Mus musculus: one gene and its partner. The protein of the gene in region 2 purifies or fractionates together with the protein of the main gene of each other region. This does not show direct contact. Links are inferred from orthologs where the notes say so. Each region holds a gene or a part of one and is shown on either strand. Other genes may lie near its edges.

The links. The genes of interacting proteins can lie anywhere in the genome.
Region 1: the proteins of Birc2 (region 2) and Tank purify together in Homo sapiens (affinity purification with mass spectrometry; 4 studies listed by BioGRID and IntAct, with this or other methods). This does not show direct contact. The link is inferred for Mus musculus from reciprocal best matches to the Homo sapiens genes BIRC2 and TANK.

The regions. Positions count from the first base shown.
Region 1 is NC_000068.7:61,591,597-61,596,471, reverse strand, and holds the start of Tank (TRAF family member-associated NF-kappa-B activator), read right to left. Parts: upstream 3,376-4,875; 5' UTR 3,264-3,375; intron 2,476-3,263; exon of another isoform or gene 2,271-2,475; intron 1-2,270.
Region 2 is NC_000075.6:7,819,451-7,824,100, forward strand, and holds part of Birc2 (baculoviral IAP repeat-containing protein 2), read right to left. Parts: intron 1,770-4,650; coding exon 1,524-1,769; intron 112-1,523; coding exon 1-111. UniProt on the Homo sapiens protein: Multi-functional protein which regulates not only caspases and apoptosis, but also modulates inflammatory signaling and immunity, mitogenic kinase signaling, and cell proliferation, as well as cell invasion and metastasis.

The DNA.
Region 1 (4,875 bases), on a different chromosome or scaffold from region 2:
TTTTTTAAAAAACATACTTATATTAAGGTCAGTGGAAAATAAAAATGGTCTGCTAATAGGAAACCTCTATTCGTATGATTATAGTTAATTATCTTTTTTCCTCTAACATTTTAAAGATACAAATATTACTGGGTGATTTTAACTCATTTATGTTCAGTTATGTCAAGTGAAGTTTGTGTTTTTATCTTCTTAGTCACTATTCTATCGCTGTGAAGAGACATCATGACCAAGGAAACTTAGAAAAGGAAACATTTAATTGGGGCTTGCTTACAGTTTCGGAGGTTAGTTCATGACCATCATGGCATTTGGAGACAGTACCTGAGAACTTTAAGTCATCATTCTCAGCAAGGTAGAGAAATAGTGTGGAGAGAGAATAGGCCTTTTGAAACCTCAAAGCCCATCCTCGCTGACACACCTCTTCCAACACAGCCACACATCAGAATTGTTCCTAGACAGTTCACCAAGCTGGTGACTAAAGGCTATTCTCATTCAAACCACATTCCCTTTAGAATGTATACTGCCATTTTTCCTCTGCCTGCTGTGCTAATCTTCAATAATTTAAGGAAAAGAGGAAGCTATCCGAATAGGTAAAAAAAAAAAAACCTTTCAAAATCAAGATTATGAACTATATGTAGAGAGGGAAAACAAAGGACTACATTTTGGGTGGATCGCTAATGCAGTCCAAAAACAAAAACAAAAACAAAAACTGAGGAGTGTTAGAATAGGCAAGGGTACCTGGTTCTAAGCAACTGAAAATGTGCATTTCAGGCCTTTGTAATATGTGTCACATTTTTCAACCCCTAATCTTGAAAAAGATTAAAAACAAACAAACAAACAAAAAAACCAAGACACACCCCTAAAACCTGTGACAGAATACACATTACACATAGCATAAAATTAGCCGCTGTAAACTTTCCTTTCTTTCTTCTTCTTTTTTTAGAGAACCAGGTCTCGCTTATATAGACCTGACTAGCTTATAGACCAGCCTGGCCTTGAATTCAACAGAGATCCTGCCTCTGCCTCCTAGCACTGGGATTAAAGGCATGTGCCACCATGCCTGGCTTTTCTTTTTAGACAGGGTCTCACATGGCCCAATCTTTCGACTTCAAAAAAAATAAAAAAAGAATTTTCAGTCAGTTGGAAAAGAACTGAAAGAACTAATTTCTTTTCTCTCTTTCTTTCCTTTTCTTTTTTGGCGTGTAGTGTGTGTGTGTGTGTGTGTGTGTGTGTGTGTGTGTGTGTAAAAGAGTCACAGGGCAACATTGAGGGGTTAGTTTCTCTCCTTCTACCTTGCTGGTCCTCGGGATGGATCCCTGATGTCAGGCTTAGTGGCAGACACCTTTACTTGCTAAGTCAACTTACTCACCTAACCCACTTGTACTTTTGTTTCTGATGCTATGATGAACACTATGACCAAAAGCAACTTGAGAATGAAGGGGTTCACTCCATCTTACAACTCATAGTTCAAAACCCATCACTGGGGGAAGTTGGAGCAGAAACTCAAGCAAGAAGCTGGAGCAAAAAACCACAGAAGGTTGATGCCTACTTCCCAGTTTTCTTCTCCCAGCTTGCTCATTCTTTCTTATAAAGTCTAGGCCCACCTGCCCAGGGATCATAGTACTCAGAGCTGGCTGGATCCTCCCATATCAACCAGCAATAAAAGAATACCTCACAGACAAGTTCACAGGCCATTCTGATAGAGACGATACCTCAAATGAAAATTCCTCTTCCTGGTATGTTTGTTTTTATTACGTTGAAAAAAAAAACCTATGATACCTAATTCATAATTATGTTTCTACAGTGTACAAGAATAACTTCAGATGTTTAAAATGAGTCAAGTATTAAAATGAAATAGCACAGGAAATTATCTCAATAATTTGCAAGAGGACAATAATCTTGGATACAAAACCTAGGCAAAGCCACATGACTAATAGTTCTTTACAGTATGTGGCACATAGCATGAAGGGTTACTATATCTGTATCTTCCTCCTGAGTTCTGGGATTAAAAGCATGAGCCACCATGCCTGGCAACAACTGTACCTTTAAGAAAGGAAAAGAAAGAAAGAAAGAAAGAAAGAAAGAAAGAAAGAAAGAAAGAAAGAAGAAAGGAAGGAAGGAAGAAAAAAAAAACGACATAAAAATCCAAACTTGGGAAAAGTGACCAACGCCAAGAGAAGAGGGTGTACAGAGTAAGCAATGATCTCATTTCCATAGGGGAGCAAAACAACGTGAGTAGGCGCCTTTAAGAGATGTGGAAGGCTTTGTCTTACATGATTGAAAACGCTTTAGCGGGGTGGTTTCATTTTCTCCTTTATCATTTGAGGGGTTCACGGCCCCTCTCAAAGGGGACAATATGGCTTTTCGCAAGAAGGTGGTGCTTGTCTTTCTGTTACTGGGCAAACGGCGGGGTGTTACTCCACCTCTCTTCACTTTCTAGCTTATCGTTTCTTCTTCATGTTAACTTCTCAAAAGTTTCTGCGAGAGAAAAAGACACCCAAGAAGGCTGCTTTGTACAGCCAGCCTAATAGTGAGAGAGCCTAAGTCCTCTGGGGGTACAGCGAGCATCTTCCCCCTTGATCGGATTTCAGGACAAGCATTGCTCTTTTTCTTCTCGTTTGTTTGCTTGCTTGCTTGTTTTTGGTGTATAACTCGTTGCCACTCAGTTTACACGACGGTGGAGACTCTACCTAATGACTGGGTGACCAGGGAAGGAGGATGGCTACTTCTGCTCTTTGAGCCTTGGCCACCCATTCTCTCCGGGACTCCTAGGGGGAAGTTACCCAACTTCTCATTGACAAGACTATGATGACACTCCACAGGAAAGCAGAGAAGGGAATTGTGCAACTCCCGGGATAGACACAAAGAGTCTATTAAGTGTTCGAGGGCATAACCGCCGGGGCGACCGGCTTCTGCGAAGTCGAGGACTCCGGGATCCCCGGCGCCCCAACACCGCAGGCCGTGCCGCGCTCGTTTCCAGCCCCGGGAAGCAGCGAGGAGAGCGGCAGTCACCCTGCCGCGACGGGTGGGGGACTGTCGTCGCGGAGCTGAGGTCACGGGCCGGGAAAGCCCCACAGGGTCAGCTCGGGGACAGGGACCCGCGCTTTCTCTCGCTCAAAATCGCGCTGTAAACTCGCTGGGGCCGCAGCTCTACTTCTCGGAGGAGACTTCGGTGCAGCGCAGCGCATCCCACACCCGCTCACACACCCCAGCCCTGCGTCCCCGGGCTCGGCCGACCCAGACTCCCTGTCTCCGCTTTTACTCACAGTGGAGGGTTCCGGCTGTGCTCGCTCACGCCACAGGTCGCCGGTGCCCGGCAGAATGACTGCAACCGGAAGTAGCTTTCCGTTCCAGTTCAGAGGGCAGCGACTGCGCTCTGAGTCATTAACGCTTCACCTTCCATCCTCAGGGCCAGCCCCGCCCCACGTCCCGCCTCTGCAGGAAAGCCCCGCCCACAAAGCCCCGCCCCGCCAAGCTCCTTGGAGGCCCGGGGCCATACAGGAAATAGCATCTGACAGTAAGAGAACCCTAAACATAAGTCATTTGTTTAAAGGTCACTTCAGTGTCTTAGCTAGAATTTTGAGCAAACAGTAAATAACTACTTCTAATATTACCTTATATGTAGGTTAGAGAACCACTCAGAAAAACTTGATATATTGTGAAATTCCTGTTTAGAGCAGGTAGGGGAAGGCCCAGGAAATTACAGTTTTCACCAGATCCTTATGCGAATATAATTGAGTTAAAGTCCACAACTTGAGAAATATTACATATACACTCGGTGTTTCCTCCCACTAGTAATACTTTCCAATGGATATACTTGCTAAAAAAAATTCAATTTCTAGTAAATTTCTCGGGGATTAAAAGTTTCTCATTATTTTATCCAGACATGCTTGAATGATAGCTGAGAGAGAAATTTCAGATGGACGCAGTGAGAAAAACATCTTTTCCGTGTTAGAACAAGAGAGTTGGGTTCTGGCTGCCCCATTTTCTCTTTAGTTCAAAGATTCAAACACTTGTCTGGTTCTAACCGTTAGCTTGAATATTTGGGGCAAATTTTAAAATTCAAACCATCGTTTAAAACTATTAAAAAACTTTCATCAGCTGCGGTTGCTCACAGAAAACCTAAGCAAGATCCAACCAATCAACCTGCTACCACAGTGGTGGGTGGGGTTCACAAGCCCATATGTCAAACCAGTATCTGTGAGGAGCTAAGGGCAGTGGGTGGACTTGAGGGGAGGAGGCCAGTTTTATTTAGGGTGTGTCTCATGCTTCAGTAGATGATACTATGTCTGAATTTATACAGGCAGCACAAACTGGACTTTGTGGTCACTTGGGGTGGGAGGTGGAGGTCATAAGGTTGGGAGAGGGGATGGATCTAGGAGGAGTTGAGGGGGATATGGTCAGAACATTGTGGGGCTGGAAAGATGGCTCAGAGGTTAAACACATGATTGCTCTTCCAGAAGACCCCCGTTTAATTCCCAGCACACACATGGCAGTTCACAACTGTCTGTAACTCTGGTTCCAGGGGATCCTATACCCTCACCCAGACATATATGCATTATAATATATTTCTAAAGGAAAAATAGAACAAACACATTATATGATTCTTTAAAAAATATTATAAAATATTACTCAAAATTTTAACAAGCAGAACTTCCCACCTATAACATTTAGATCAAGTAAACACTTTTTCCCACTAAGTCATCAAGTTAATTGTGACACAGCACTGCTCATATTAAAATAAAACAAAATGACTTGTTTTCTCTAGAGCAGGGTTAGATGCAAAGTAAATTGAGAGAAAGGTCTAGAAACTTCCAGCATGTTCCTCATCTTCATCCTCAGTGCTGAGGTGGAAAAAACTGCTAGCAAGAACAATGT
Region 2 (4,650 bases):
GTTCCTGTTTTGTAATTACACTGGCCTCAAGAAGATTATCCAGGATAGGAAGGACATGTGTCAACTGTTGAAAGAGGGCCATTCTATTCTTCCGAATCAGTGATAAGTCACCTTCATTTAAAAACGAGCAAGAAAAAAGTTCCATTAAATTTCAAATGTCCCCAACCAACCCTACACACAAATTAGCTTAAGCTGAGCTTGAAGGGCTTCTTTGAAATGACTTGATTGCACATCAATGCTGTCAGGTTAATCTTCCAGATTAAACTCAGATGTATCGCACAGCAAATACAAACATTCTCAAGTCTACACAATGACAGACTCAGACACTTGCCTTCAAATTGTTGAGAACAAGCAGAAAACTTTAGAGTAGTAAAACGTGTGTCCTCTTTTTCTCTCTTTCCCCAGAATCCTAAACTAGTTGAGTTTTTTTGTTTGTTATTTATTGAGACAGGACCTCATGTATTCAGGTTCTGCACGTATCCACAGGGATAGTCCTGATCCTGACTCTACCTCCATTGCAAGTGCTGGGATTACAGACATAAACCACTATGCCCAGTTTACATAGGGCTAATGATGGAACTCAAGGTTTGTGAATGCCAACCAAAGACCCATCAATCAAGCTACATCTTCAGCCTAGAGCAATATTCCTTCTCAGACTCCATGCATTCTACAGAACTACAGCACTCAAGAGTGTAAGCTTCATGTCACGATGGACTCTGCCTGGCTCCCAGGCAAGTCTAGCCACTTAATAGCCATGTGTCCCCCTGCTATGTACACCTCAGTTTCCTGATCTGAAGTATGAATAATAGCATCTTCCTCAAAGAGTTAAACAAAATGCACATAAACCATGTTGTACAATACCTCACACATAGCACATAGCCTGCTTTATCCTTTTTTAAATCTAAATTTATAGTTTTTAAAAATGAATCCAGCTTATTCATAAGAAATTACCTCACTTCAGAGGGCAGAATTGAAACATAAGTCTGTTTCAATCCAGAAGTTAGAATTTTAAACGTTTTGTGATACGGTCATATAATAAGGCTGTAGTGAACTAGTCCTATCTCTTTTTTAATATTTTCCCCCCTTGGTGGGGTCTTCAGAGGGGGTCAGATCCTCAGGAACTAGAGTAATAGGTGGTTGTGAGACACTGGACTCTACTTAGGCAATAGGAACCAAACTCAGGTCCTTTACAAGAGCAGCCAAAGCTCTTAACCACTGAGATGACCTCCAGTCCCTTAAGTCATGCTTTTTTTCAGTTTTAGCTATGTATAAAGAAATGAAATATACCTCAAAAATAGTTTATTGTAAATCTGTGTATGGTGGCATATATGTATAACCCCAGCACTTTGGAGGTGGGGGCAGGAACCTCAGGGGAGTTCTAGTACAGCACTAGCTACAGACTGAATTTGAGGTTAGCCTGAGCTTGGCAAAAAGAGATAGTTTAGAAATGCCCAGGGGCAGAGGGTGTTAATGATGCTGCATGCAACACGTAATTGAAAACCTGTGGCCACCAACGTGGATACCTGATGCCATCTCTTCAGTCTGTCTTTCCTTCTCCTCTTCTCTTCTCTCATCTTCAGCATTCAAAAGTACTGAGACAATATCATTGACGGTCCTGTAGTTCTCACCAGTGGCCAGGATCTGCCGCTGAACCGTCTGTCTCACCAGGCTCCTACTGAAGCCCATTTCCAAGGCTGCTTTAACCACAGGCGTGCTCATCATGACGACATCTTCCGAACTTTCTCCAGGGCCAAAATGCACCACTGTCTCTAAAAAAATTTGCTAATATTAAACTCCACAAATTTAAACTATGGAAAGTAATGCCTGTGGCACCTTTATTTTTCATATCCTGGTAAGGGAGACATATCATGTGCATCAATTAAATTAACTTCAATACAATTTGAACTTTGGATAGTGTACTATGTATCTAAAAATTACTACCTACCTACAGTATATACATCCTAGATATAAACTTAAAATAAAAATCTCTTGGCAATTTGCTTAGGAGTCTGATTGTTAAAAAACAAAACAACAACAAAAAAACTCCAACAGTATTGTTGGGATGGCTCAGTGGTAAAGGTACTTACTGCCAAGCCTGACAGCCTAAGTTCAATTCACAGAATCCATGGGGGGTGGGGGAGGGGGGGGAGAACTAATTCGTAAAGTTGCCCTCTTTTTTTAAGAAAATAGTTTATTTGCTTTTATGGCACTGGGTTTTGGTTGCATTTGTCTGTGTGAAGGTGTCAGCTGCCCTAGAACTGGAGCCACAGGCAGCTGTGAGCTGCTGTAGGTGTTGGGCATTGAGCCTAGGCCCACTGGAAGAGCACCCAGTACTCAAAACTGCTAAGCATCTAGCCGGGCGTGGTGGCGCACGCCTTTAATCCCAGCACTCGGGAGGCAGAGGCAGGCAGATTTCTGAGTTCGAGGCCAGCCTGGTCTACAAAGTGAGTTCCAGGATAACCAGGGCTACACAGAGAAACCCTGTCTTGAAAAACCAAAAAAAGAAAAAAGAAACAACTGCTGAGCATCTCTCCAGTGCCCAAGGGTGCACTCTTAACCTCTATCCACACATTGTAGCGTGTGCACCCACACATACACTATAGTTTTTCCTCAAAAATCAGGTAGGCAAGATGGCTCATGGCTAAGTGTTTGCTGCACAAGTCCACCCAAATTTAATTCCTGAAACCCACAGGAAAGGACTGACTCCTAAAATAATTGTGTCTCCATGTCTTTATATCTGTGTGTGTGTCTCTCTCTCATGTACATACACACACAGACACACACACACACACACACACACAAACACACACACATGAAAAAATTTTAAAGTATCTCCCCAAAAGAGTTTAATATACATTCATTTTTTAAAATCAATGTACCACAAAAATACAGCTATGAGAAATTACCTTCCAGCAGGAAAGGAGGGCAAATATAAAGCTCAGTAGGAACTGGACATGTGACAGCAAAGACAAAGCTTCCCTGACACTCATAAGCAAGATCTAAATAAGCTACCACTTCAAAAACCAGCAAACAGTAGGGAAGAAGGTTAAGATGGGGGTACAACCTTGGCAGAATGCTTAGAATACACTGAATTAAAAATGGGGGTGTGGCCTAGGTGGAGGGCTTGTCTTCCACTCTAGCAAGCATGCATACATCTCTTCCCCACCCCTATAAAAAGATGAGGTGTGGGTGTGGGGCCTAGCACACATGAAGCACCTGGGTTGGAGTTATACCAATGGATATGTATCAGACTTGAATGATGAATAACGTCTAAACAGGTATATAAGTGAGGCAGAGAAAACAAGGATGGGCAGCATAAAGATGTAATAAAAACACAAATAAGCAAAACTACTGTTATTCTGAATGGAGGTTTTAAAGATGAAAATACGAGGTGACAAATGCAGGAAATGGGAGGCCATAGGGACACGGATGGAAGCATTCTCTGCTAACAGGGTCAGTGCAAGCTCATACTGTGCTTCTGTGACATTACAGCTGTACTTTTCCAAGATACTTTACTGCCATCCACTGGAAACTCATACAATCAACACACAAAAGTGTGTAGAGAGCAAATGTGGTCAAAAATATGTTAATCCTCAACACCTCATCCAGAAAGTAACATTTAAAAATAAATAAAACCCTAAAACTGAAACGATAAAGTAAGCAACAGGAACATGTGAAAGAGAACAGCAAGACTAGCCTTCACCAGCACAAGAGCTTAACACAGTCAAGAAATAAAGATGGTGGCAGACGGCAGGGACAGTAGTCATGGTATATACAGCTTTGTGAGGAGTGTCCACATCACCCTAAGTTTGCCAGAATATTGTAGGAGGAACTTAAGCAGAGAGCTATTCCAAAGGTAACTGGTGATGCTGCACAGATGGATTTGGGATCAGGAACAACTGGTCTACAAGATAGACCAGGGTAGCATGGACTAAGAGACAGTATCAGGACATGCTGTGAAGGCAGAGCATTTCTCAGGAGATAGCCCAGTTGGTTCTGTAACTGGGTGTTATGAACTGAGATGGGGAAGGTCAGAGAAAAACATCTGAAGAATGAAATCAGAGGAAACCTAGTGCTTTGACATATTTGCTGAGACAGCTATTGTAGCCCAAACTGGAAGCACCTCTAAGATTTACACAGGTAATTGAACATTCCAGCCTGGACTGCATCTGACCTGAGCATAATAAAGTACACTCGTTTAGTAGTCTACCACGTAGGAATATGAAAAAGGAACTAGCAGCAGAAACGGTTCAAAATCATCCTAACAAACTGGAAAAACACCTAAAAGAGTGGCGTCAGGGAAGTCCCCAAAGCTGGTGTGTAGAGGACAAAAGCTCAGTGTGCGGCAGCGTGCTTCCATCAGCCCTGCCCTGTGGCAGAGGAGCAGGAGCATCCCAAGCTCAGGGCCAGCTGAGGATGTGCCCAGAAGGATTCACTCCAGCAGTTTCCAGTGACTCTTGTCATTATCAAAGCAACATTTCCAGATTAGCAGGAGGTGACATAATCCAGTGGACAAGGCCAGGTGAGGTGGCCTGTAATACCTGTAATACGGTGCTCAGAGCCTTAGGCCAGAGGATCCAAAGTTCAAAGCCAGCCGGGGGCATATTATAAGACCCTGTATGAAAAATGAATGAAAAAAGAAAGGAGGGG